7 linked regions of the Coturnix japonica genome follow. The protein of the gene in region 6 purifies or fractionates together with the protein of the main gene of each other region. This does not show direct contact. Links are inferred from orthologs where the notes say so. Each region holds a gene or a part of one and is shown on either strand. Other genes may lie near its edges.

The links.
Region 1: the proteins of SF3B1 (region 6) and YBX1 purify together in Homo sapiens (co-immunoprecipitation; 3 studies listed by BioGRID and IntAct, with this or other methods). This does not show direct contact. The link is inferred for Coturnix japonica from reciprocal best matches to the Homo sapiens genes SF3B1 and YBX1.
Region 2: the proteins of SF3B1 (region 6) and SNRNP200 purify together in Homo sapiens (co-immunoprecipitation; 4 studies listed by BioGRID and IntAct, with this or other methods). This does not show direct contact. The link is inferred for Coturnix japonica from reciprocal best matches to the Homo sapiens genes SF3B1 and SNRNP200.
Region 3: the proteins of SF3B1 (region 6) and MFAP1 purify together in Homo sapiens (co-immunoprecipitation; 3 studies listed by BioGRID and IntAct, with this or other methods). This does not show direct contact. The link is inferred for Coturnix japonica from reciprocal best matches to the Homo sapiens genes SF3B1 and MFAP1.
Region 4: the proteins of SF3B1 (region 6) and PLRG1 purify together in Homo sapiens (co-immunoprecipitation; 3 studies listed by BioGRID and IntAct, with this or other methods). This does not show direct contact. The link is inferred for Coturnix japonica from reciprocal best matches to the Homo sapiens genes SF3B1 and PLRG1.
Region 5: the proteins of SF3B1 (region 6) and SNW1 purify together in Homo sapiens (co-immunoprecipitation; 3 studies listed by BioGRID and IntAct, with this or other methods). This does not show direct contact. The link is inferred for Coturnix japonica from reciprocal best matches to the Homo sapiens genes SF3B1 and SNW1.
Region 7: the proteins of SF3B1 (region 6) and SNRPE purify together in Homo sapiens (co-immunoprecipitation; 4 studies listed by BioGRID and IntAct, counting the BioPlex papers as one, with this or other methods). This does not show direct contact. The link is inferred for Coturnix japonica from reciprocal best matches to the Homo sapiens genes SF3B1 and SNRPE.

What each region holds. Positions count from the first base shown.
Region 1 is NC_029536.1:5,554,770-5,557,190, reverse strand, and holds the end of YBX1 (Y-box-binding protein 1), read left to right. Parts: intron 1-218; coding exon 219-301; intron 302-393; coding exon 394-640; 3' UTR 641-671; intron 672-1,538; 3' UTR 1,539-1,921; downstream 1,922-2,421. UniProt on the Homo sapiens protein: DNA- and RNA-binding protein involved in various processes, such as translational repression, RNA stabilization, mRNA splicing, DNA repair and transcription regulation.
Region 2 is NC_029537.1:1,047,411-1,050,910, reverse strand, and holds part of SNRNP200 (U5 small nuclear ribonucleoprotein 200 kDa helicase), read left to right. Parts: intron 1-51; coding exon 52-240; intron 241-383; coding exon 384-581; intron 582-880; coding exon 881-1,033; intron 1,034-1,146; coding exon 1,147-1,227; intron 1,228-1,403; coding exon 1,404-1,487; intron 1,488-1,958; coding exon 1,959-2,065; intron 2,066-2,169; coding exon 2,170-2,288; intron 2,289-2,519; coding exon 2,520-2,674; intron 2,675-2,849; coding exon 2,850-3,039; intron 3,040-3,193; coding exon 3,194-3,367; intron 3,368-3,500. UniProt on the Homo sapiens protein: Catalyzes the ATP-dependent unwinding of U4/U6 RNA duplices, an essential step in the assembly of a catalytically active spliceosome. Plays a role in pre-mRNA splicing as a core component of precatalytic, catalytic and postcatalytic spliceosomal complexes.
Region 3 is NC_029525.1:18,263,623-18,267,789, forward strand, and holds the start of MFAP1 (microfibrillar-associated protein 1), read left to right. Parts: upstream 1-1,367; 5' UTR 1,368-1,474; coding exon 1,475-1,553; intron 1,554-1,790; coding exon 1,791-2,010; intron 2,011-2,222; coding exon 2,223-2,352; intron 2,353-2,666; coding exon 2,667-2,854; intron 2,855-3,222; coding exon 3,223-3,331; intron 3,332-3,404; coding exon 3,405-3,565; intron 3,566-3,807; coding exon 3,808-3,967; intron 3,968-4,167. UniProt on the Homo sapiens protein: Involved in pre-mRNA splicing as a component of the spliceosome.
Region 4 is NC_029519.1:18,049,370-18,052,869, reverse strand, and holds part of PLRG1 (pleiotropic regulator 1), read left to right. Parts: intron 1-685; coding exon 686-825; intron 826-1,549; coding exon 1,550-1,743; intron 1,744-2,396; coding exon 2,397-2,456; 3' UTR 2,457-3,500. UniProt on the Homo sapiens protein: Involved in pre-mRNA splicing as component of the spliceosome. Component of the PRP19-CDC5L complex that forms an integral part of the spliceosome and is required for activating pre-mRNA splicing.
Region 5 is NC_029520.1:35,692,692-35,695,833, reverse strand, and holds part of SNW1 (SNW domain-containing protein 1), read left to right. Parts: intron 1-503; coding exon 504-620; intron 621-950; coding exon 951-1,092; intron 1,093-2,534; coding exon 2,535-2,631; intron 2,632-3,142. UniProt on the Homo sapiens protein: Involved in pre-mRNA splicing as component of the spliceosome. As a component of the minor spliceosome, involved in the splicing of U12-type introns in pre-mRNAs.
Region 6 is NC_029522.1:38,392-41,891, reverse strand, and holds part of SF3B1 (splicing factor 3B subunit 1), read right to left. Parts: intron 3,067-3,500; coding exon 2,869-3,066; intron 2,781-2,868; coding exon 2,679-2,780; intron 2,021-2,678; coding exon 1,841-2,020; intron 1,407-1,840; coding exon 1,320-1,406; intron 1,194-1,319; coding exon 923-1,193; intron 669-922; coding exon 523-668; intron 438-522; coding exon 291-437; intron 116-290; coding exon 1-115. UniProt on the Homo sapiens protein: Component of the 17S U2 SnRNP complex of the spliceosome, a large ribonucleoprotein complex that removes introns from transcribed pre-mRNAs.
Region 7 is NC_029541.1:2,015,870-2,020,095, forward strand, and holds SNRPE (small nuclear ribonucleoprotein E), read left to right. Parts: upstream 1-1,436; 5' UTR 1,437-1,542; coding exon 1,543-1,596; intron 1,597-2,128; coding exon 2,129-2,155; intron 2,156-2,537; coding exon 2,538-2,600; intron 2,601-2,693; coding exon 2,694-2,772; intron 2,773-3,448; coding exon 3,449-3,504; 3' UTR 3,505-3,726; downstream 3,727-4,226. Other genes in the region: MTCH1 (mitochondrial carrier homolog 1), read right to left, coding at 1,139-1,336. UniProt on the Homo sapiens protein: Plays a role in pre-mRNA splicing as a core component of the spliceosomal U1, U2, U4 and U5 small nuclear ribonucleoproteins (snRNPs), the building blocks of the spliceosome.

The sequences.
Region 1 (2,421 bases), on a different chromosome or scaffold from region 6:
GATGTGCTCTGTAAGGCTTAGCAGTGAGATAAAATGCCTGAGCAGATGTTGGCACGGTGTTGGGTACAGCTGTTGAAAAGCAGTGTGTTAACTTCTGGTACAAGTAACTGGGCAAAGAGGAAGCTCTGTGTAGTGCACTGAGGCCGCTGTCTGCCTTGCAGCCCTCTGTGTGGTTTGACTGCCTGGCTAAGAACATTTCTTGTCTCGTTGTCTTCCAGGGTGCTGACAACCAAGGTGCAGGAGAACAAGGCAGACCAGTCAGGCAGAACATGTATCGAGGTTACAGACCACGATTCCGCAGGTATGCCGCAGATCAGCTCTTGCTTTAGCCTTGTGCTCTAGCAACACAGCCAGGACATCGCAGTGCTCAGATGCTGCATTGTTAAAGCCCAGCTTGACTTTCAGGGGTCCTCCTCGTCAAAGACAGCCCAGAGAGGATGGAAACGAAGAAGATAAAGAGAACCAAGGGGATGAGACCCAAGGTCAGCAGCCACCTCAACGTCGGTACCGTCGTAACTTCAACTACAGACGCAGACGCCCAGAGAACCCTAAACCACAAGATGGCAAAGAGACGAAGACAGCCGAACCACCAGCTGAGAACACGTCCGCTCCCGAGGCCGAGCAGGGCGGGGCTGAGTAAATACCGGCTTAACATCTCTACCATCATCCGGGTACGTGTTGGGTGCTCTGGGGGGTGTGACTGGACAGTGGGCTCTTTACTTTGTGATGCTTCCCTTTGAGTTCTGCTTGTGTTAATGCACGTTGGAACTGCTCTGCTTGCTGGCTCTGCAGAACAGAACTGAGTGCTGGTTAACTGGGTGGGCTCTGCTACCGGGCTTTAAATTTCCCCGGTGGAATAAATGCATAGAATATTGCTAATCTTTAAACCTCAATCAGTCTCTGCTATGATAGTTCACCCACAAGAAGCATTTTGATGCTGGTGTGGTGACCTGAAAGCATTCTGCTAGGAGAAACAGGTGTGTGAGGATGCTAGCAGCTCTTCAGGCTTGCCAGCATTGTGGCTTTGGTTGCCCTGCCCTGAGGGCTGGGTGCTGGTTGGCTTTAGCACCTCTCCACATCTGTTTCTCATAAATAGATGTTGAGTTTGCAGGAGCATTTTGGTAGGAGCTTCTCACCTGAAAAGGGATACACTTGGTGTTGCATGGGCTGCCCTGTAGGGCTGTGGTACTGCTTGTCTGCAGGGGTGCATGGGGTCCCTACTGAAAACGCTGTCACTGCAGAGCTATTTGCTTATGCTGTCTTATGTAGGCACTGGTTCTTTGCTTTCAAAGGCAGGTATTGGTGCTAAGAGGGTCTGGTGAAGGGTGTTAATGGGTGCCCTTTCTCCTGGATCCCTCTGCTCTGGCTTCTGGTGCAGGCTTCCAGTTTCTATCACTGCAGTATAGGCTGATGGGGAGCTGTGTGTGATAAGATGCGTATGCAAAAACAGAGCATGAATTTAAACTGTAGGTGAGCCTCAACATGCTGAACACATCCACATGACGCCACGTCTGAGATCCTTTATTCCTTTCTTTCAGTTTAGTCATCAAAGAAAAGACTTAAAGAAATGAAGAAGAAAAGAAAATGAAATTCCAGCAATAAGAAATGAACAAAAAGAATTGGAACTGAAGACCTGAAGTGCTTGCTTTTTGCTGTTGACCAGATTACAAGAACTATCTGCATTATCTATGCAGCATGGGGTTTTTATTATTTTTACCTAAAGAAGTCTCCTTTTGGAAACAAGAAACGCGTTTTTTAAAAGTCTGTTTTTTCTCAATACACCTTTAAAGGTTTTTAAATTGTTTCATATATCTGGTCAAGTTGAGATTTTTAAGAACCTCATTTTTAATTTGTAAGAAAAGTACGCCTGATTTTTTCAAGTCAAACTGCAAGCATCTGTTAATAAAGGTCTTAAAGTTAATCACGGCCTGCTCTGGTTCATTCAAACCCACCTCTGTGGAAGCCGAGCAGTTCATTTGTTGCTCAGCAGTTGTGGATTTGAATGTTGGTACTGCTGGGTTTGTGCCCTCAGCTCTATGCGGGTGAAAGGCTCTTAGTCCAGCACATGGAAGTGATGCTTCCATAGGCAAAACAGGAGGAGCAGCGCAATGAATGCACCGCCGGGTCTGCCCATGGACGGCTCTAAGCGCCCTGTGGCTTCCCCTCCTTCCCACTAATGAGCGCTCTGCTTTTATCATGTTAATGCTCGCTCTTCTAATTGCTTTCCGGTGTGCTGGAGCACCAGCCATTAGCGGCCGATGCGTCTGTGTTGTGCTCTATCTCTAAATGCCTTTCAGCGTTTCTGGCTGCCCGGTAGAGCAGCAGCTTCCACCTGTAAGAGCCGCTCTTTGAACCACGGAGCTGTTGGACTGCAGTCAGCACACACAGCACAGGGGCAGAGGCTCGCTGCTGCAGCCACGG
Region 2 (3,500 bases), on a different chromosome or scaffold from region 6:
AGAACTTGCCAAACTAGGAGCTGTTATTGAGCTCACTTTGTCATTCCTTAGATGCTGGGACGTGCTGGGAGGCCTCAATACGACACCAAAGGTGAGGGGATCCTCATCACATCCCATGGTGAACTGCAGTATTACCTGTCCCTGCTCAACCAGCAGCTCCCCATTGAAAGCCAGATGGTGTCGAAGCTCCCAGACATGCTGAATGCAGAAACTGTGCTGGGCAACGTCCAGAATGCAAAGGTGAGCTTTAGTTTGCTCTGTGGGTGCCACCCCTTTATTGCTGTGAGCCCAGAGAGCTGCTGGGGATGGTGGGAGCTTTGCAGTGACACAGCAGCTCTGCTTGGTTAGTCTGGGGTCTCTGATGGTGCATTGCTGTCCCTCAGGATGCAGTGAATTGGCTGGGCTATACCTACCTGTACATCCGCATGCTGCGCTCCCCCACTCTCTATGGCATTTCCCACGATGATCTGAAGGGGGATCCGCTGCTGGACCAGCGTCGTTTGGATCTGGTTCACACCGCAGCCCTCATGTTGGACAAGAACAACCTGGTGAAGTACGACAAGAAGACGGGGAACTTCCAGGTGAGGAAGGGAGAGGGGTTATAACCAAGCAGAGCCGGGCAGGAGTGTCCTCTGGCTGAGAGAAGGGGGGTAAATTAGTGATTAATCAGTGATTAAACACAGATCCCATAAGGAGAAGGTGTGAGGAGTGGAGCTGCGTGTTGACAAAGCAGCTTTCCTTGGGGGATCTGTGGGCTGAGGGATTACCTGCAGCTTGTCTGGTGGTGTTAGCCCTGCTATGGCCATCGTGCCTTCTCTCTATGCCACAAACAGTGGGGTGTCATTCTGCTGCTTTGCTATGGCTGCTGTCTTTGTTGCAGGTGACGGAGCTGGGCCGCATTGCCAGCCACTACTACATCACCAACGAGACGATGCAAACGTACAACCAGCTCCTGAAACCCACCCTGAGTGAGATCGAGCTGTTTCGGGTCTTCTCGCTGTCCTCGGAGTTCAGAAACATCACAGTGAGGGAGGTAAGGAGCCATGCGTGTGTACTCAGTGATACAGCCCTGATGCTGCAGGGGATGCTGCAGATCTTTGTCTCATGTTGGGGCTGTTTCATCACTCCTCCATTGGATTTCCATAGGAAGAGAAGCTTGAGCTTCAGAAGCTGTTGGAGCGAGTTCCCATCCCTGTGAAGGAAAGCATAGAGGAGCCCAGTGCCAAGGTGAGCCCAGTCTGCCCAAACCAGGGGTCTGCTGTGTCCACCTTAGGACAGCATCCATCCCTATAGGAGCTGCCGTGTGGGCCTGCAGCTCTGGAGAGCTTAGAGCCCTCTGAGATGTGCTGCTCACACCGTGGGGATGCTCACATTGCTGAGATCCCTCTGTTCTGCTTCCCCAGATCAACGTGCTCCTGCAGGCCTTCATCTCCCAGCTGAAGCTGGAGGGCTTTGCCCTCATGGCAGACATGGTGTACGTTACCCAGGTGGGTGAGGAACAGTGGCCAGGGCCTCTCCATCTCCTCAATGGTGTCTGCTGGTGGGAGGGACAGCAACCTGCAACCCAGGGGTTGAGTTGGTGTTTGAAATGACTTGGAACATAAGTAGAGCTGTGAGTGGTAGGGAGAGACAGCTCCCATCGGGATACAGGTTTGATCTTTGGAGTCTTTGGTTTCTAATTAGAATCCTGAGGAGGTAATTGAGAGGCTGCAGGGCTGTTCTGCCATAAACACCAAAGCTGCCAAGGCTGGGAGCTGAGTCAGTGCGCCTCCATTGAGTGGCTGGGGGTGAAGAACGTGAGCTGAAAGCAGAGGATGGAAGTGGGGAGGGGGAGGTGTTGGATGTGATGATCCCATGGAGGTGGGGAGGGGGAGGTGTTGGGTGTGATGATCCCATGGAGGTGGGGAGGGGGAGGTGTTGGATGCCACAATCCCAGCTGAGCTCTGATGCCCCCCCAGTCTGCAGGGCGGCTGATGAGAGCCATCTTCGAGATCGTCCTGAACCGGGGCTGGGCTCAGCTCACAGATAAGACCCTCAACCTCTGCAAGATGATCGACAAGCGGATGTAAGTGACAGCACCTGTATTGAGCTTAGGCTTCCAGGGGTGCCTTGGTGGGCAGCATTGGGACCCCAGTGAGGCCTGCAGCTGTGTGGGTGCCGTCCCTGCAGGTGGCAATCCATGTGTCCTCTGCGCCAGTTCAAGAAGCTGCCTGAGGAAGTGGTGAAGAAAATCGAGAAGAAGAATTTCCCTTTTGAACGGCTCTATGACCTGAACCACAATGAAATAGGTACTGGGAACACAGGGGGGGTGAGCCTTGAGGGTGCTGAGGTTGGGGCGCCTGATCCTGGCTGAGACCTGGTGTAAGGTCTTATGCAGCCTGAGTTAGACTGGGGCTTTCCTGTAGCTCTTCTCATTGTCCAGCTGTGCTCACGTTGCAGATATTGCCCTGGGTGAAGTCCCAGAGCTGTTATTAACCCTGCCGTCCACTTATCCTGATGGCAGCTCCTTTCTCTTGCAGGAGAACTGATCCGGATGCCCAAGATGGGCAAAACCATCCACAAATACGTCCATCTGTTCCCAAAGCTGGAGCTCTCGGTCCACTTGCAGCCCATCACCCGCTCCACCCTGAAAGTGGAGCTCACTATTGCCCCCGACTTCCAATGGGATGAGAAGGTGAGCAGTGAAACCAAGGGGAGCTGCCCTCAGTAAAGAAGGGCTGTGAAATACAGGCAGGCTGAGCATCACAATGGGGGTAGGGTGGTGTTTCATGGGGCAGGATTGCTGTGATGCTGTTCAGTCCCTGGAGCTCTGCATCCAGCAGCATATGGTGATGGTTCCTCTTGCTCAGGTTCATGGCTCATCCGAAGCCTTTTGGATCCTGGTGGAGGATGTGGACAGCGAGGTGATCCTGCACCACGAGTACTTCTTGCTGAAGGCCAAATACGCCCAGGACGAGCACCTGGTCACCTTCTTTGTGCCCGTCTTTGAGCCTCTGCCCCCGCAGTACTTCATCAGGGTGGTGTCTGACCGCTGGCTCTGTACGTCCCACCCTGCCTACCTGTCTCCCAATGGGGTCTTATGGGGGGGTATCAGGTTTTGGGGCTGCCCTGGGTGGGGAAGGGCTGCTGTTATCCTGGTGACATCCAGGCTGAGGCAGCTCTCTGAGATAGAATCACTTTGTGTGTCTGACAGCCTGTGAGACCCAGCTGCCCGTCTCGTTCCGCCACCTGATCCTCCCTGAGAAGTACCCCCCTCCCACGGAGCTGCTGGACCTGCAGCCCCTGCCCGTCTCTGCCCTGCGGAACAGCGCCTTCGAGAGCCTCTACCAGGACAAGTTCCCTTTCTTCAACCCTATCCAGACTCAGGGTGGGTACCAGCTCTTCTTGCCTCCTCCAAGCTGCTGCTCCACGGCTCCTGGTTCTTTTGGCACTCACAACCCCACAGCCTCCATCAGGCACAGAGATTTGATGCTTCTAAATGTTTTATGGGCCGGATGTGT
Region 3 (4,167 bases), on a different chromosome or scaffold from region 6:
TCACTCACTGAGTCATACATTGAAGCTCGCTCCTTGCCATGGTGACACGGGAACCATTAGGTAGGAACACGCTGTGATAACCACACAAAATTGATATCTCAGCTGATGACTGGGAGCGGAGCAGGAGCTGGGCACAGAGCTCTAATTGTCATCGGGACATCAAGGCCAGGAACACCAGGAAGGACTTGCCTACCCCCAAGCACTGCTGCTGCAGGAGCACAAAGCCACCAGTGCCCGAGGCAGCGGGACAACTGCAGCACTGGGGTCTGGCTGCACGCACAGCAGAATCACAGGGACCCTGGAGCGGCCAAAAGCTCTGCCTGGGCCTGCTCAGTGGCAGCTCTTCTCCTGCCACAGCACCAGCAGGGTCAGGCTTACCCAGGAGCTGTTGTGCCCAGGGGACCCACCCTGCCAGCACAAGGGAATGCTGAGGTCAGTCCCCAGGAGCAGGTCTCACTGCCTGGCACCCCCGTGCTGATTTCCCGGAAGATAAAACCTCTTCCCTTCTTTTGGGGAGGCACCGCAGCGCTGCAGACGCGGTTGTGGTGGCTGGTGACCCAGTTTTTCCTGGCTTCAAGAGAAATCTTATCTCCTGTGGTTGGCTGCTACCGCGTGGGCAGCTGCTACGAGTTGGCGCTGGGCTGCTTTCCTGCGAAACCCAACTGGTGTGTGAAGGGCTCTGACGTGAGCAGCAACAGCTGGGGCAGGAAACCTGCCCGCTTCCATGTAGGGGCTGCTCCTGCGGGTAATTCCCTCTGCCCTGGGCCGGTGCTGCGGGAAAGTCCTGGCAGCCAGAGGGCGGGGGACAGCCCGGGGAGAGCCCTGCAGAGCGATGGTAACCGGTAAATTCAGCACCGAGGTACGCCGCGCATTCAGCACGATGGTAACCCGGGCATTCCAAGCACCGATGGGCAACCCGTTTCAGCACCGTGGTAACCCGTATTCAGCACCGATGTAACCCGGTATTCAGCACCGATGGTAACCCGGTATTCAGCACCGATGGTAACCCGGTATTCAGCACCGACACTGAGCGCAGCCTCCAGCCGCAGCCACACGAGCAGCAGGGGCAGGACTCGGCAGCCGGCCCCGGGAATCCCGGGCAGGGACCCGGCGCGGGCCGGGGCTACGTGCGGCCGGCTCCGCAGCACGTCACCACTCCCGAGCCCCGAAGCGATGAGCGGAGAGATCACAGCGGGGCCGATCTGAGCCCTGAGGGGAACCGAGCCCTGAGGGGAACCGCCGCTGCACCGCGACCGGACCGGGCCGAAACCAGCTCCACATCCGGCCACAGGAGCCGGAAATGACCTCCACGCTGAGCGTCACTTCCGGCGGCTTGCGACGGTTCGGCGCGCGTTCACTTCCGGTACGCCGGCGGAAGCGGGAGTTGCAGTTCCGGGTGAGCGGTCGGTCTGTCGGTCTGTCGGTCGGTCGGTGCTGTGAGCGGCTGCGGTTCGTCCCGTCCCGTCCCGCCGCCATGTCGGCCCCCAGCGCTCTCGTGAAGCAGCCGCCCATCCAGTCCACGGCGGGCGCCGTGCCCGTCCGCAATGAGAAGGGTGAGTGCGGGGCGCCGGGAGGGGCGGGGGGCGCGGGCACGGCGGCGGCGTGAATGTTCATGGCATGAATGCACATGGCTGCCCATGGCGCCCTGCTCATGGCCCGGCTGCCCATGGCTGCCCATGGCTGCTCACGGCTGTTCATGGCCCGGCTGCCCATGGCGCCCTGCTCATGGCCCGGCTGCTCATGGCTTCCCGCTGCTGTTCCTCCCGCTGCTGTTCCCCCCCCTCCCGCAGGCGAGCTGTCTATGGAGAAGGTGAAGGTGAAGCGGTACGTGTCGGGGAAGCGGCCCGACTACGCGCCCATGGAATCCTCGGAGGAGGAGGACGAGGAGTTCCAGTTCATCAAGAAGGCGAAGGAGCAGGAGGTGGAGCCCGAGGAGCAGGAGGAGGAGGTCGCCAACGACCCGCGGCTGCGGCGGCTGCAGAACCGCATCACTGAGGACGTGGAGGAGCGGTGAGTGCTCGGCTCCGGGCTCTGCTCCCTCCTCGTGCTCCCCCCCAGCTTTGTGTTTCCGGGCTCCTGAGCACGCAGGGGATGCCTCTTTCCTTCACACGCTTCGTGGTCCCGGGTCTGACTACGGTCTCATTAGAAACAGATCGCAAAGATTTCTCTTCTTTAGTCTCCTTGTGTTCAGAGCTTCGTAGTCGAGTGGACATTTGTTGCAGGCTGGCAAGACACCGCAAAATTGTGGAGCCTGAAGTGGTCGGAGAGAGTGATTCTGAGGTAGAAGGTGAAGCGTGGCGTGTGGAGAGAGAGGACACCAGTGAAGAGGAAGAGGAAGAGATCGATGATGAGGTTCGTTATATTGCTGAGCAGATGTGGCCTGGGAAAGTCCCCTTAGGCCCTGTCTGGAATTCGTGCTTGCAGACACACGTGAACTGTGGTGAGACTGGGTGGATGTTGGGACCTGAGTTAAAGCCAGCTGTGGTGTGACCACAGCCTGTGGGTTATGGGGCACCAGGGAGGTCACCTGCGTTCTGAGGTGTGGGCTTATATAAGCAGTCAACATCATATCATATAAGCTCAACATCATGCTTTTTATATGGAAAAAGGAAGGAAGCGATAGTGGGGCTGGTTGGCTGAGTCTGTGTTTGATGTGTCTCCATTAGGAGATCGAGCGTCGGCGTGGGATGATGCGTCAGAGAGCGCAGGAGAGAAAAACTGAGGAGCTGGAAGTGATGGAGCTGGAAGATGAGGGCAGATCTGGAGAAGAGTCTGAGTCAGAGTCTGAGTACGAGGAGTACACAGACAGCGAGGATGAAATGGAGCCACGTCTCAAACCTGTCTTCATCCGCAAGTAGGTGATAAGGTGATACAGCTGCATGGGCCAAGCACTGCATCAGGGATGGGCAGTGACTGACCTGGTAGGGCATGGCTGGGTACTTCCAACTGGGGACTTTAGGCAGGTACAGCACAACAGAAACCAGGTAGTGTGCTCCAACATGTTCCACAGCCAGTAGCAGGGTCTCCCATCACCTTTGTGCATGTCTGCAGATGTGAGGAGACTGAGTATGGTCGCTCTTGAATGAGCAAAATCAGAAAGGAGAGAGCCTTGGGACTTGGCCCTGCCGTGGGGGGCATAAAGACTAAAAGAGGCTGCAGTGGGAGCAGAGGTCTGCAGTGGCATGTTGAAAGGCTGAAGGCTTTTGTGGTCCCTGCTCACAGGAAGGACCGGATCACAGTTCAGGAGCGAGAAGCAGAAGCCTTGAAGCAGAAGGAGCTAGAACAGGAGGCAAAGAGATTAGCAGAAGAGAGGCGCAAGTACACACTCAAGGTACAGCGGGGCAGACTGGGGCATGCATGTTGGGGCAGCCATTGCAGTGAGCTGAGCTTGGTCTTGGCTTCAGATCGTGGAAGAGGAGGCAAAGAAGGAGCTGGAAGAGAATAAGCGCTCGTTGGCAGCACTTGATGCTCTCGATACAGACGATGAGAATGATGAGGAGGAGTACGAGGCTTGGAAAGTACGTGAGCTGAAGCGCATCAAACGGGATCGTGAAGAACGAGAAGCGTAAGTACTGTCTGCTTAAGGCAGGGGAGGGTCCCTGCAGTCCCAGGCCCTGCAGGACAGCGGGCAGTTGAGGCGTCTCTTTCTCAGTCTTTGTTTTGGCAGCATCAGGAATTTTCTTGAGGTGCTTTACTCCATTATGGAGTCAGTCAACGTATTCGTCAGAAAGTCCCGGGTGGCAGCAGCTGTCCCATCTTGGGAGGGCACTGAGGGATGCAGGGGCTCAGGGTTTCTCTTTTGCCCAGCATGGAGAAAGAGAAGGCAGAGATCGAGCGGATGAGGAACCTGACAGAGGAGGAGCGCCGTGCCGAGCTGCGAGCCAACGGCAAAGTCATCACCAACAAGGCAGTGAAGGGCAAATACAAGTTCCTGCAGAAGTACTACCACCGTGGCGCCTTCTTCATGGTGAGTTCTGCTGCCAGGCCTGGGGCTGCGTGGACCACGTGGCTGTTTTGGGGGAGTTTTCCCTAGTGGTACCCAAGTAAGGGCTGGCCAAGCACACAGGACCAGAGCTGGCCCTCAACAGCAGCGTGCTGCTGAAGTGACTGAGGGGATCTGAGGTGCCTGTCAGGTCTGGCAGGCAGGGTGAGTAAAGACACGAATGC
Region 4 (3,500 bases), on a different chromosome or scaffold from region 6:
TAATGCTTAAAAATGTATATATCAGTAAGCTATATGTGTAGCACCTTTACTGCTCTGGGCTTCTCAGGAATTGGTTTTCATACCCAGAATATATTGCAGTCAACAGAATTTCTTTTGCATGTGCTTTGGCATGTTCCTTGAAAAATCAGCAACACTGAGCATGATAAAGCTAATAATAATTTAAGTAACTGATTGGTTATTAGCAGAAAGAGACACGTTTCTGTACAGTTTCTCAGCTGTGAATATTACTAGTGGAGGCAGTGATTAATAACAAGTGATTTTTTTGTAATGTGTGCTTCGTTGCTCAAGATGTTTCAATCCAAGTAGCCTTAAAAAAAGAAAACGTTCTTGTGGGTGTTTAATCTTTGAAGCAGGTGTTGTTTACGATGCTGTAGGTTAAGATATCTTCGCTTTGATACATCCCAAGTTTATCCAGATAAGTTACCATTAAGACAATGGAGAAAACAAACTTGCATAGAATTTGCTTTTATTTCAGTATTTTGTCCTTGCTTGTGTGGGTTTGGAAACCAAAACCTTTTTTCCCCTCTGATACCTCTGCTGATGATGCCCTTCTACTGAATTTCTCAGAATAACAACAAACGAATGTATTATCTTCCCTGCTGTCCAAAGAAATCTTTTATACCCCCTTCTATATCTTCAATATCCTGTGCTTATTTTCTTTCAGTTATACATTTGCATCTGGTTCTCCAGATAACATTAAGCAGTGGAAATTCCCAGATGGAAACTTCATTCAGAACCTCTCTGGTCACAATGCTATTATCAACACATTGACTGTAAATTCAGATGGAGTTTTGGTCTCAGGAGGTAAATGAAAAATGCACATTCATATTCTTTCCCACTCCTCACAATGTACATATGACTGAAGGTTCTTAGGGTCAGGATGTTCCCTTAGCTCTCTTGGACTTATAAACCTGCTATAGCCTACATCTTTGTTTTGAAAGAAGTAGAATCCCTTATATTTTTTGGTTCTGCATGCCCAAAAATGTGTTTGAAAGCAATCTGAAATCTCCAGTAGGGAAGATATTTCTGAACAGAGAGCTTAATGTTCAGAATATCAGTCTTTTCTTTGCTTCCAAAGCAGTGTGCTGCCTTGTGGGTTATTTGATTCAAAACGGGATGAGATTCTGAGGAAGCTTCACCAGCCTACTTAAACAAGATGAATCTTCCCTCTTAGCTAAGAAAAACAGGAAACCTGAGCAACCTGATCTAGCTGTAGGTGTCTCTGTTCTTTGCAGGGGAGCTCTTGGCTAGATGGTCTTTGTAGGTCCCTTCCAACTTAGATGATTCTGTGTCTGTGTTGTACTTCGAATGTTGCTTTCAGTTTTGGGCTCATAGAGCTTCTCTTTACAAGAATGATATTGAGTCGCTCAGACCATGTGCAAAGAAGAGCAGTGAAACTGTTGAAGGGACTATAAAATAAATGTTATGAGAAGTGGATATGGAAGCTTGATCACAATACTGTTTTTAGAAGAATGGTAGAAATTAACTGGGTGAAGTACTAATTATTTTTGCTTTGATTTATTTTCAGCTGATAATGGTACTATGCATCTTTGGGACTGGAGAACTGGCTACAATTTCCAGAGAGTACACGCAGCCGTACAGCCAGGCTCTTTGGACAGTGAATCAGGAATATTTGCTTGTGTTTTTGACCAGTCTGAAAGCAGATTGCTAACTGCCGAAGCTGATAAAACCATAAAAGTGTATAAAGAAGATGATACTGCGGTATGCCAAAGCATCTCTTTTATATATTTTCATGAATTCAAAAGATTTCAAGTAAACTTTAGGCACAGCAGCAAGGAACACGTATATACCCTTGTTGAATCTGTTCTGTTAATATTTGAAAAGAACATGTATGCATAAATCTAAAGAGGACAGCAGCTTCCTCCTAATTTCTTATCAACTGCTATAGAGCAGATAAGTTGCATGTCCATCAAATCTACTCAAGTCATTTTTGTTAAAATTTGGGAAAATCTACCCAAAATAGCAGCGGATTTTGTGTTTAGAAGGTGCTCAAGAATTTTTTAGTTGTAATCATTAAAACATGAATTAGCAAGAGGGTTACGTTTTAAATACACACACACACACACACACACACACATATATATGTATATATATACGATATGGGTTTATTCCCACCCATCACCTCACAAAAACAGGAAGAAAAGATAAAAGCAGGAACAAGTTCTATTGTGTCTTTCAGGCAGGAATGATATTGTAATTTAATTTGGTTAAATGAATTGGGTAACTTTATTGCTTTGTATAACATGGAGTATATATCCTACGTAAGTAATATTTTAGACTAAACCCTAATTACAGATTATTCTCAAGTTAAAAACAGAATAATTCCTTACGGGGCTTCTGTTCTTCCCTTTCAGACTGAAGAAACTCATCCTATCAGCTGGAAGCCAGAAATTATCAAGAGGAAGCGATTTTAATGCAGCAACATACTTGTGCTATATTGTCTTCTTTTTGTCTTTTTTGAGAGCTTTCAGTCACATTTTGTTCTGCCTACAACAGAAGTGCAGGAAGTCAGCCAGTCTTTGCTTTTTCAGTCTGTTTTCCAATAAATTTTATTTCTTTCTTTTTGTCTTTTTTTTTTTTTTTTTGATTGTGTGATCCTGGCAAACAGGTTGCAGCTGTCAACCTTCTTTTTGTGGAGCATGTGCTGCTGTTCATGAAGAGGATAAATGTACAGGTGGTTACTTGTTTTATATGCGTCTACTGAGCGTGAATCTGAAAAGATTTTGGTGAGCTGGAAGGCCCTTGCTTTGTTCCTAAAGTAACTGAATTCACCCTAGAGTCCATCTACAGGAAACTTCTTGAGTGACACTTTTAGATTGTAGAGCAATGTTGTTTACTGTGTTTGTGTTTAGTAAATACTGTAATGGAACATTAAATATGCTCAATTGCAAAATAACAGGTTAACCAATAAAGAAATGGGATATTACAGTAATAATGTAGTTTCCTTGGACGGCACCACACTGGCAATCCTCAGTGGCTTTGTTATTGAATCAAATTGACTTTCCAAGAGTTTCTTTCCCTAGGAAAGCTTTCATATGCAACTCCATATCTTTGCTTATTTCATTTTGCAGTGGACCTGATATAATGAGAGCCACTGTCAGATTATATTGCTTAGTTAGCACGGGGCTAGGACCAGTTGACTTTATAAATCACGTGTCATGCTTTCTTTCAGTTATCTGAAGTATTTGTGACATTCAGTTACAGGGAACTCCTAAACCTGAGTTCTGAAGAAAAGCTCTTAAGTGATTCCAGTCTTAATTTTATTTAGTTTTGTCTCCCTGTGATCTTACAAAGGGTTTAAAGTACGTATATGCATGTATGTATATACACACCCTGAAAGTTTACTAATACTCCTGAAGGGGCAAATGTGTCATTGTGTTTACCACAGTCATGCAACTAGCAGTATCCATGTAATGCTCTTTGCTGCAGTTTCTCTTTGTTGTTAATAATGTTCATCA
Region 5 (3,142 bases), on a different chromosome or scaffold from region 6:
GTTATCTAAGGGATCTTAAAATATCTATAGATATTTGCAGATTTCAGCAGGCAGCATCTAGAGTCTCTTGCTTTTGCTTACAGCCTTGGCCCTTAATTTCTCATTTTTGAGTCAGCCAGTCTCTTAATAGGTTTAAAAACAGTTCAGGGGAGTCGAGTTTTAAATACAAATGGTAAAACTACTTAGAGAGTAGGAGAGCTGTCATCTGGAATTCTTAAAGCAAAAGGTGGAGCTTATTAATCACAAATTCATTCTCATTCATACTTGAACAAAAAATGTGATCTAGATTTGAGGTGGGGGTGGAATTGCTTATTATTGCCTGGTATGAATTTGGAGTACGTCTAAAGAAGGCCCCTGGAGGGGGGCCTGATGATACAATGAATGATTGGCTGACTTCTGTGATAGTGTATTTTTTTTGTTGTTGTTTTCTTACCCAATAAATGCAATACAAGTTTGCTATTAAAAGCCTTACTAATTTCTGTAACTGCTCATCTCCTCTTTAGGGTTACACCATCCCATTAGACAAGCGTCTGGCTGCAGATGGAAGAGGACTGCAGACTGTTCACATCAATGAAAACTTTGCCAAGCTTGCTGAGGCTCTCTATATAGCAGACAGAAAGGTCAGGTGGTTGTTTAAGCTGTTCTGTTTCATGTGGTTGTACCTTTATTATGTGCTTGATTCCTTGGGAAAATCAGCTGGGAGAGTGCTATAGCTTTTTGGTCTGTCCTGCTTCTAGGCTACTGTAACGTTTTTATCCCCAGTGTGTTTGAATCAGCGGCTCAGTGTGGATTAAATTATCGCAGGTCATGTCTGTTGTTCCTCAGCTTGAATTTTGGTATTTTTCTGGTTTTGAACTTTAACTATAGGACTCAATTCTTCCCATTTACCGTGTAACTCCGGGACAGAAGATCTGCATCCCAGGTGCTAACTAGGGGTCTTATGTGTGCAGGCTCGTGAGGCTGTGGAGATGCGTGCCCAGGTGGAGAGGAAAATGGCTCAGAAAGAAAAAGAGAAACATGAGGAAAAGCTCCGAGAAATGGCCCAGAAAGCAAGAGAAAGGAGAGCAGGGATTAAAACCCACGTTGAAAAAGGTACATTTTGTTGCTGAGGTTCTGTGGAGTCGTTTGGTTTTTTGCACTCTCTGAAGTGTAGGTTTGCAGAAATAACCTGAGAAATTAAAATATCCAAATTCGTTTGCTTAATTCATGGGGATCTGAATTTCAACGTCAGGTTGAAGGAGGTTGTTGAGAAATTGATCACTGTATCAGTACAGTGGATGGATCATTACAACATAAGGGCTTTCATGGACTGTTGTAATTTGATTTCTTTTTCAGAAAAGGCTTGTTTTGACTTCATCTGTGAGCACTAAATGATCTTTAAGTTTTCAAAGATGGTAAACGCAGTATTCTGTCTCTGATGTTGTTATAATTGGTCTTAAGGAGAAGTAGCTTTGGCTACCAGGCTCAGAATCTAATAACCTAACTAAATCATAGCCATTGTGGTGTGTTATGTCTTGATTGAAATGACATTTCAGAGATCAGGGTGCTGAACTTACAAAGCAGTTCTCTTAATGTCACTTAAAGGTGGAGAATGTGGTCATATACTGCAGCTGGGATGGACTAATCTGTTTCCAGCAGTACAGGCTGAGAACTAGCAGGCTGCAGAGCAGTTGTGTTCAGAAGCACCTCTGGGAGTCCTAGCGGACGATGTGCTGAAGAAAAGCTATAGCAGCACGCCCTGGCAGCAGTATTCCTAGGGGTATGCTAAGCTGCATCAGCAGGAGTGCAGCCAGAAGGACAAGGGAAATAGTTGTTTTTCCTTTACTGGTCATCTGCTAGACTGCATCTGGAATAGTGCCCACTTAAGGGACTCTCAGTTCAAGACAGACATTGATGAACAGGAATGAGTTCAGTGGAGGGTCACCAAAATGGCCAGGTGGCCAGAGCATCTGTGTGGTGAGATGCTGAGAGAATGAAGCATGCTCTGCCTGCAGTAGAGAGAGCTTGATGGTAACCTAATGTCAGCCTTCCTATGGAGAGATCAACAGCTACACTGTGGAAGAATGAGATAGTGGTTAAAAGCTGAAGTGTGTGCTTCCACCAGTGTACGCAGAGAAACAGATTTCATCATGAGGACAAAAAACAGTGGAACAGGTTGTCCAGGTGCTTGGAAGATGCCTTGTATTAGAATGACATTTTTATACTAACATGTAACAGAGAAGAGGGTATGACACAATCATCTGCAGCTGTTGGGGATGTTAATTTGTAGGTGGACAAGAATTCTGAGCTCTTTAAAGTTCAGAAAACATAGTTGTTGTGTATGTGTGCTGTAACTCTCTTGTCAAGGACGTTTAATTGCTTGTGGCGTGAGAAAGTTACTGTTCTCCTTTCTAATTTGTTTAAAAAGTAACATATGGTGCTAAGGATCCCTTCTCTTTTGGAAATGAATATTGAATCACTGTGCCAATGTCTGTGCTGTAGTTTAATTCAGACTTGAGTAGCTGTCTGTAATAAGCAATCTTGCATGTGTTCAGAGGATGGAGAAGCTCGAGAAAGAGATGAAATAAGACATGACCGACGCAAAGAGAGACAGCACGACAGAAATCTCTCCAGAGCAGCTCCTGATAAAAGGTGAGTCACAAGCAAAGAAGCTGCTTCATTACTGTACTAGTACAGGATTCCCCACTACAGAAGCTATTACATACAGCTTTCTCCATTTCCTTGACATCAGTGCCTGAATTTTACCTTGTGGAGATGCTCACTGGTGTGAAATGGTTTTATTGTGTTAGAATATGGTGGTGTTCCTGTGATTAGGGTTTATGCAGGAAATAGATTGCAATCATAATATTGAATTAATGTATAGTATTTTAAGTTGAAAGGAAGTGTGGGGCTACCCTGCGGTAAGTGTTAGGCATTGATATAGCACTTGTTTGTAGAATCCATGTCTTTGGAAACTTAAACTTAAGACTATATGCAGTCAGATGTGTCTGACTCAAATGTTGTGAATTTTCCAGATAAGAGAAAAGGTTTTAGTTATTTATTGTCATTTTTGTTGTTTTGGGTGGGGTTTTTTGTGTTCTTTTAGAGGGAGGAAAGGGTTGCTTGGTTTGCACATCTGCAGCGTATTTGGGCTTGATGACTG
Region 6 (3,500 bases):
TCCTCCTGTCCAATGCCATTCTGTGCTGCCAGAAGTGTTTGAAAAATGGTGGCAAGATCTCTGTTTTAATGTAGTTTGCTTCAACACCATCTGTACCACAGCATTGCTTTACCACCTAGTGGGAAAAAAAAGCCAACAGTGTTAATTCTGTGTACAGTTTGTTTGGTTGTGGTGTTTTGGTTTTGTCTTAAAGAAAAGGAAACATATATTCAATGTTAACACTAAACATTCAGTTTTTATCAGTTTAATTTATTCCACTGCCAGTGTCTGAACAAATAATTCTGACGTACCTTCAAAACAATCTTTTTCATCTCTTCATCAGGAGACTGGAACTCTCTGATAAGAATAAGCATGACTTCTCTGGTATAATAGTTGGCATACTCAGCATCCATGAGCGGTATCAGGTAACCAATAGCCTTCAAAAAGGCAGCCAACCCCTATTTAAATGAAAAAATATATTCCCAGTGAGTTACGGAAGATACATATTCATTTCAGTTTAAACTGGAAGTATTTTAGACATACCTTTCCTCTGTGTTGACGTATACCCTTCCACAAGGGCTTCAGAACGGAATCAAATGACTCAATACCATAGGGAGTAGCTGCCTCAGCTAAAGCAGCAATAGCCAAAGCACTGATGGTACGAACCTTCTGCTGCTCATCCACAAGACCTGCGAAAGAACACACTCTTTAGTACAACTTTGCGTATCTTACACTCAAAATAGCAAAAACATGCAGATAGGATAAAAAAAGCAATCATTTAGTTTTTAGGAAAACAATCAGTGTTTCTCTTTTGAAGTCAAGCAAGTTATTTCTCACTGTAAAAAAGGCTACACAGAACTTTGCCTTATTAACACTCCATCCCAACAAGGCAAAGGAGAAACATTCTAAATACAAATCTTAAGCTAAAGAAAGCAGAACGTACCATGTTCGATAATTTCAACCAAGCTCCTGAGATGAGGCAAGATAGCACAACCCATAAGAATAGCAATTTGCTGCACAATCTTGATGCCTGTATGCCTCGCTTGCCAGGATTTTTTGCTTTTACAGACAGCTTTCAAGAACGGCAACAGAGAAGGAATGCCCAAAGCAGAGGCAACAACAGCAAAGGCTCGAGCTGTGGTATTTCGGACATATTCATCCATGTTATCAATATCAGGTCGCATCGTAGAAATCATTGTTGCCAAACCAGCAGCCTGAAAGAAGAACACACAAAACACACAGATTTATCAACAGCACGCTACGTTTTCCTGCCATGACTATAAGCAGCTCCGTGTGGCTATATACAAGCTAATTCCTACCATAGGATTACAATTTATTACCTTAGCCAAGTTGGAAATAATTTCTCTGCCTTCCACTCTGGCGTAATAGTCTTCATCAATCAGCAGTGGTTCAATGACAACAAGAATCTGAAAAAGATGAAAAAATACACATTTCCATTTGTGAATAGGTACTATTTCTGGTCCTAGTAAGAAAATTATGATTCCATGAAGCTGAGATAATTCCATGGATTCAAGCTTTCAACTTGATGACCTATGATGTCTTAGATCTGTTATGCCTTTTTTTTCCCCCTCCGACTCTCTTTTAAGAACCTCCCCCACGGATTCTAGCTACATCAGGTAAAATCTCTCTCCCTCTCCCAAGTGTGCATTAACGTTTTAACATTATGCCTTAGTACTGTAATATCTGCAATTGGATCACACTACAATAGGTTCAAGTTTGACTGAGAAAGAAACACAAAAGCAACATGATATTGCCTTCTCTTCTGCTATGCAAATGAACTGTACACTTCCCCAACCATGATCACAAAAAGCAAATCAAAGATGAGCAAACTGCAACAGACCTTATGTACGTATGGTCGGACCAGGTCATCCAGTTTGTACAGAATTCTGTCTATGACTTTGACAAGTAAGTGGCGCTCCTGATCCTCCAGTGTTGGTGACATCAGCAATGGCAGAATCTGATTAAACAACGGCCCAGCTCCAAATTCCCGAGCTTTATCAGTAATTTGTCTCAATGCAGCCTGAAAAACAACAACAACAAAGGCAACTGTCACTTAAACTAAGGAAACAATACTGAACAGTTATTGGACAAGTAGGTATTAAGCAAGTTAAAACACAATCTATTGTAACCATGAGCTTCACAATACTTGTTCCTACCACCATTTTCTACACAAATACATATGATGAGAAGACTCAGTTATTCTATTTTCAAGGAAAGCATGGCTCAGTACTAAGAATGGCACCATCTAAAAAGGCATTTTACACAGCACTCACTTCAGGTGCTCAGATCAGCTTAGAGTGAAACGGCCAAAAATGGATAATCTATTGCATCAGCGAGCTAGGAACTTTGGCAGTATAGCTCTTAAGAAGCCAAATATAGAGAATTACAAAGCCCTGTAACCAAAAAGCACAACAGAATCTTCTCTCCCATAATTAAGAATTATTGTATTATATTCTGTAAATCATATGACACTTAGCAATCAGTATTACTGCACAAAGAGCAGCAACAACAAGCAACACGGACACAGATGGAAGAGAAAGCATTAAACACACAGCAAAGCTTAGGAGGTAATTTTGAAGAGAATCCTATGGACAAGCAGGTGAAAAGAAAGACATAGTCTGAAGATGCAATGGCAGTGTGTTAACAGATGAAGTGCTAAGAATGTCTGCTAATCTCACCTTTCTCATGGGAGGTGTGCCGTTCTTTATTTTCAGAAGTAATTTCATTATCTTCCTCTCCTTCTGCTCTTCAGGACTAAGAGTTGATTCATCAACATCAACCTAGAAATAATTCCAGACAAATTAACAGGCATTGGTATACCTCAAAAGATCAGAAAACTTTAATCAGCACAAGTGAAATATCATTTACCAGCAGCTTATCAAAATACTGGATATCATCTGGCTTCAGGAATGGAAGGTTGCCAGAAGGCTGGTCATTGACACTCTTCATAGTCCGGTCCTCTGTCTGCATGTGGAATCCAGTCATACCACCCAAAGGTGTGGGAGTTGCCGTAAGTTTACGTGCTGGAGTACGAATAGGTACATAACCAGCTGGTGGGGGAAGAACCTGCAGAAGAAAGAAGGAAATATGCTAAAAACTGCACCAGAGAACTAATGTAAAGAACCTTCACAGCCTTCAAGGCTCATCTTACCACAACAGATGCAAATTGAGCAAGGTCCCAAATGCAGAACAGAAATAAAACAGAACATAAGTTTTTAGCCCTCCATAGATTTGTGTGTTACTGCATACATCAGATCCCACATACAGTGATTTAATTCACAAATTCAGCAGGATAGTTCATATTCATGCTTATTCTCTATTGACAGTATTTCAGAAGAGGGCTTGGGTAATGGACTTAACAAGTCTTTAGAAACTATTTAAGTTTCTAAACTTAACCTCCAACCCCACCTTCAATATTTGTATCAACACTGTATATTTATGAAGTCAGAATCTGTCACCCTCTCCTGTCATTCCACATTTGCGCTTTCTTTCTGAACTCA
Region 7 (4,226 bases), on a different chromosome or scaffold from region 6:
TCCCATGATATAGGCAGTCCCTTTCCTGTTACTCCTCTTGGGGTACAGGAGGCCCCCATCCCCCTCATTTTATAGGGTTCCCTATTACAGAGGGGTTCTGAGGATGAAGAGGGATGAAGACCCACATTCAATCCTTTGTTATATAGGAATCCCCATTGTGTGGGTATCTTCATCCATCCCATTTTATGGGGTCCCCTCACCTGTCACATAAACAAGCCTCCACTGCACACGTTGGTCTTTATCTTTGGTATATATGTTTATATATGAGTTCCCATTCCCTGTTATACAGCTGTCCCTGATGCAGCAATATCCCAATTCCCACAGTGCTCCCCATTCCATCCTCACAGCTACAGGTGGGATCCATACACACAGATAACGGTGACTGAGTGCCACCCCATCACACAGCACGACCCTCCTCACCCCATTACCCCCCTCAACACATTATAAGGAGGGAACCCCCATTGCCACATATGGGGGATTCCCTTTACACAGGGTCCCCATAGCCCCCTATGGGGTTCCCCATCATTACACAGGCCGTCACCCCCATATTAACCCCCTCAACACATTATAAGGAGCTCCCATTGCCACATATGGGGGGTTCCCTTTACACAGGGTCCCCATAGCCCCCTATGGGGCTCCCCATCATTACACAGGCCATCACTCCCCCATTACCCCCCTCAACACATTATAAGGAGCTCCCATTGCCACATATTGGGGGGTTCCCTTTACACAGGGTCCGCCATAGCTCCCTATGGGCGTTCCACCATCATTACACAGCCTCACCCCCCATATTAACCCCCTCAACACATTATAAGGAGCTCCCATTGCCACATATGGGGGGTTCCCTTTGCACAGGGTCCCCATAGTTCCCTATGGGGTTCCCCATCATTACACAGGCCGTCACCCCCCATTACCCCCCTCAACACATTATAAGGAGGGAACCCCCATTGCCACATATGGGGGGTTCCCTTTGCACAGGGTCCCCATAGTTCCCTATGGGGTTCCCCATCATTACACAGGCCGTCACCCCATAGAGACGCCCCACGACCCCCCCTCACACCTCGGCCTACACCTCAGGCCTCCCCCCTGCCCCCACACGGGGGTCTCATCCCCCCCACACCCCCTTTAGGCCCCGGACCTGGACGAGCAGCTTGACGTAGAGCAGGGGGTGGCTGACGGCGGCGAGCCCAGCGCCCAGAGCCACGAACAGCCCCTCGGTACCGTCGGTTCGGCCCGGTCCGACCCCAGGCCCAGACCCGCCGCCAGGGGGCGCCAGCGCCACCGAGGGCAGCGGAGCTTCGCCCGCCATGGCCCCGCCGCCGCCACCACTGCGCATGCGCCGCCTCTTTGCGTATTGGTGGGCGGGATCTTAATGCGAGACAGCACTGGTGGGATCTGCGAGCAGTAGAGACGCGGTCCTCCCGCTTTCCTAGAGCGGCAAGTCTTCCAGCGTCCCTTGCGCGTTCCCGCCTTGCTCAGCGGCTTCCGGTGTTCTCTGCGACTTCCGGCGGAGCTTGTGGTGGCGGCGGGCAGGGAGTAGCCATGGCGTATCGAGGGCAGGGCCAGAAGGTGCAGAAGGTGATGGTGCAGCCCATCGTATCCTTGTCCGGAGGGGCAGGGGACGGGCCTGCGGGGCCTATGGAGCCTATGGGGCCTATGGGGCCTATGGGGCCTATGGGGCCTGTGGGGCCTATGGGGCCTATGGGGCCTGTGGGGTCTATGGGGCCTATGGGGTGTGTGGCCCTATGGGGGAATCTATGGGGCCTATGGGGTCTGTGGGGCCTTTGAGGCCTATGGGGCCTGCGGGGTCTCTGGGGCCGAGTGGGACCTTTGGGACCTATGGAGCCTGTGGGGCCTGTGGGGCCTGTGGGGCCTGTGGAGCCTATGGGGTCTATGGGGCCTGTGGGGCCTATGGGGTCTCTGGGGCCTGCAGGGCCTATGGAGCCTATGGGGTTTCTGGGGCCTGTGGGGTCTCTGGGGCCGAGTGGGACCTATGTAGCCTGTGGGGTCTATGGGGCCTATGGAGCCTATGGCGTCTCTGGGGCCGATGGCGAGTGGAGGGTAGGAGCGGCCCTGCAGGGCCTTGTGTCTCTCTGGAGTTGTTCCCGTCCTTAACGCTGCTCTACAGAACCTCATCTTCCGCTACCTGCAGAACGTGAGTACTGGGGCCGGGGCAGGGCTGGGTTCGCCTTTGGGTTTGTAACTTCTTGGCTGCTTTTGGAGCCCATCGGCTTCAAACGAAGAACTGGTGCTGTTTGGGAGCATAAGAGCTGGCTCAGAGATGAGCGTTCTCCCTTTGCATTAACACCTTTGTATGTTGATTGTGCCCCTGTGTGTGTAACACACACTCAATAACCCACACCTACAAGGTTCTGTGTTGGGAGTTGCTCTTTGGGGTGTTTCAGAGCTGCAGTGGCTGTTGGTTGCAAAGATTTCTCACCACATTACTAGCAAGGCTTTCTTAAATGCACAGAAGCAAAGACCAGCATTGCTTGAAGCATTTCTTTTCCAGTTTATTCACCCTGATTGTTTTGCAGAGGTCCAGGATCCAGGTGTGGCTTTATGAGCAGGTGAACATGCGGATAGAAGGCTGCATCATTGTGAGTACCAACATGTCCATGTGTTACCATTGGCTTTCCCACGTTCATGAGTCTGTGTGCTACCAACTGAGTGTTTTTGCCACTGATTTTCAGGGCTTCGATGAATATATGAACCTGGTGCTGGATGATGCAGAGGAGATTCACTCCAAAACAAAATCAAGGAAGCAGCTGGGTATGTCAACGTGTTATAGCATGAAAGGTGGTTGGGTGAGCCTTGCTGGTAGCAACACTTAAAGGTGGAAAGCACATGCCAGGTGTTGGTTTGGGAGAGCATTGGGCAGGTGCTGGCTCAGTCTTTGTTCCTGATGTTTGTTAAAGGTGATGATTTTGCTGAATGTAAAGGAGAATCTCCCTGTGCCTGAGACCAGTTGTTATCTTTTAAATGCTGTCTTTGTACAACTGAGGTGTCTGGAGGAGTCTGGTCCAAACTCCTTTGGGCTGTTTCTAAACTTGGTAGCCCTGAGCAATTCTCGTACCTGCTGGGTCAACTCTTGGCCAAAGCAGGAGCCACCTGACTGGTGGTATTTACTATTTACCGCTGCTGGAGAAGATAAAGCTGTCTGTGATGAGGGGATGCGTTGATTCGGATTGAGTTTATAGCAGGGACAGTGTTCTGCTGGGGCTGAGATGGTGTCTGAGAGTTGGGAGTGGATTATGAGTATGGACCCTGCCCTGCTATGCTTTCCATATGGGGCTGCCAGCAGGGATAGGACTCATTGCAACCCTCCCCCTCTATAATAGGGGCATCTTCTTGCAAGCATCTCCTGTTGTGGGATAATATGTGAAAACATGAGGTATTCTTGGATTCTGGGATCTCTCTAATCCCCCATTTCCTTTCTGTGTTGCAGGTCGGATCATGTTAAAAGGAGACAATATCACTCTTCTACAAAGTGTTTCTAACTAGAAATCGCTGTTCTTAGGGCAGTGATTGCAGTTCAGAATGGTTTGGAGTGAATGAAGAAGGTGCAGTGGGAGATCTACCCCTGCTGGTAGATAGAAAGTTACATGTAACTGGCATTGCATGCTGAGCTCAAAGTCCCCTCCTTTTGTAGGAGTGATTTTTTTTGTAGTCTGAAACAATAAGGGATGTATTTCCCAAATAAACATTTTTCACGTTGTCTGTAAACGGAAATCTGCATGGTTTTATTCTCAGCTTTCTATGCTTGGAGAAGGCAGAGAAATGTACATCAAGTGATTTGCTGTTGGTCCGATAAGTTCCTGATAGCTCTGTGCTTTTTGGGTAGTTACAACATGAGACAGGACAGGCTCTGGTGTCACTGTCAGGCTTGAGCATGCATGGCTCTAATTAAGTTTGTTAGAGGTTCTACGTGCAATTACCACCCTTTGTTGTCAAAACAGCTGGTTCCTTGGGTGCTTTCTGGTGGATCAGTGGGTTGGTGATGGATTTGAGGCTGTGATACAGTGATCCGACATCACAAACTATATTAATAGCTGTACTTTGGTAAAATATCATCATTAGATAGGGCAGCTGGTTGGGATTAAATCTATAATTTCTTCTTTGGGCAGCATCTCTGCATTAAATCCTAGTGCTGGGATGTCAGATGTGGCTGGATTTTATCACTATTATCCATGTAAGGATCTGTCCTATTTAAGTTTCCATAAGTG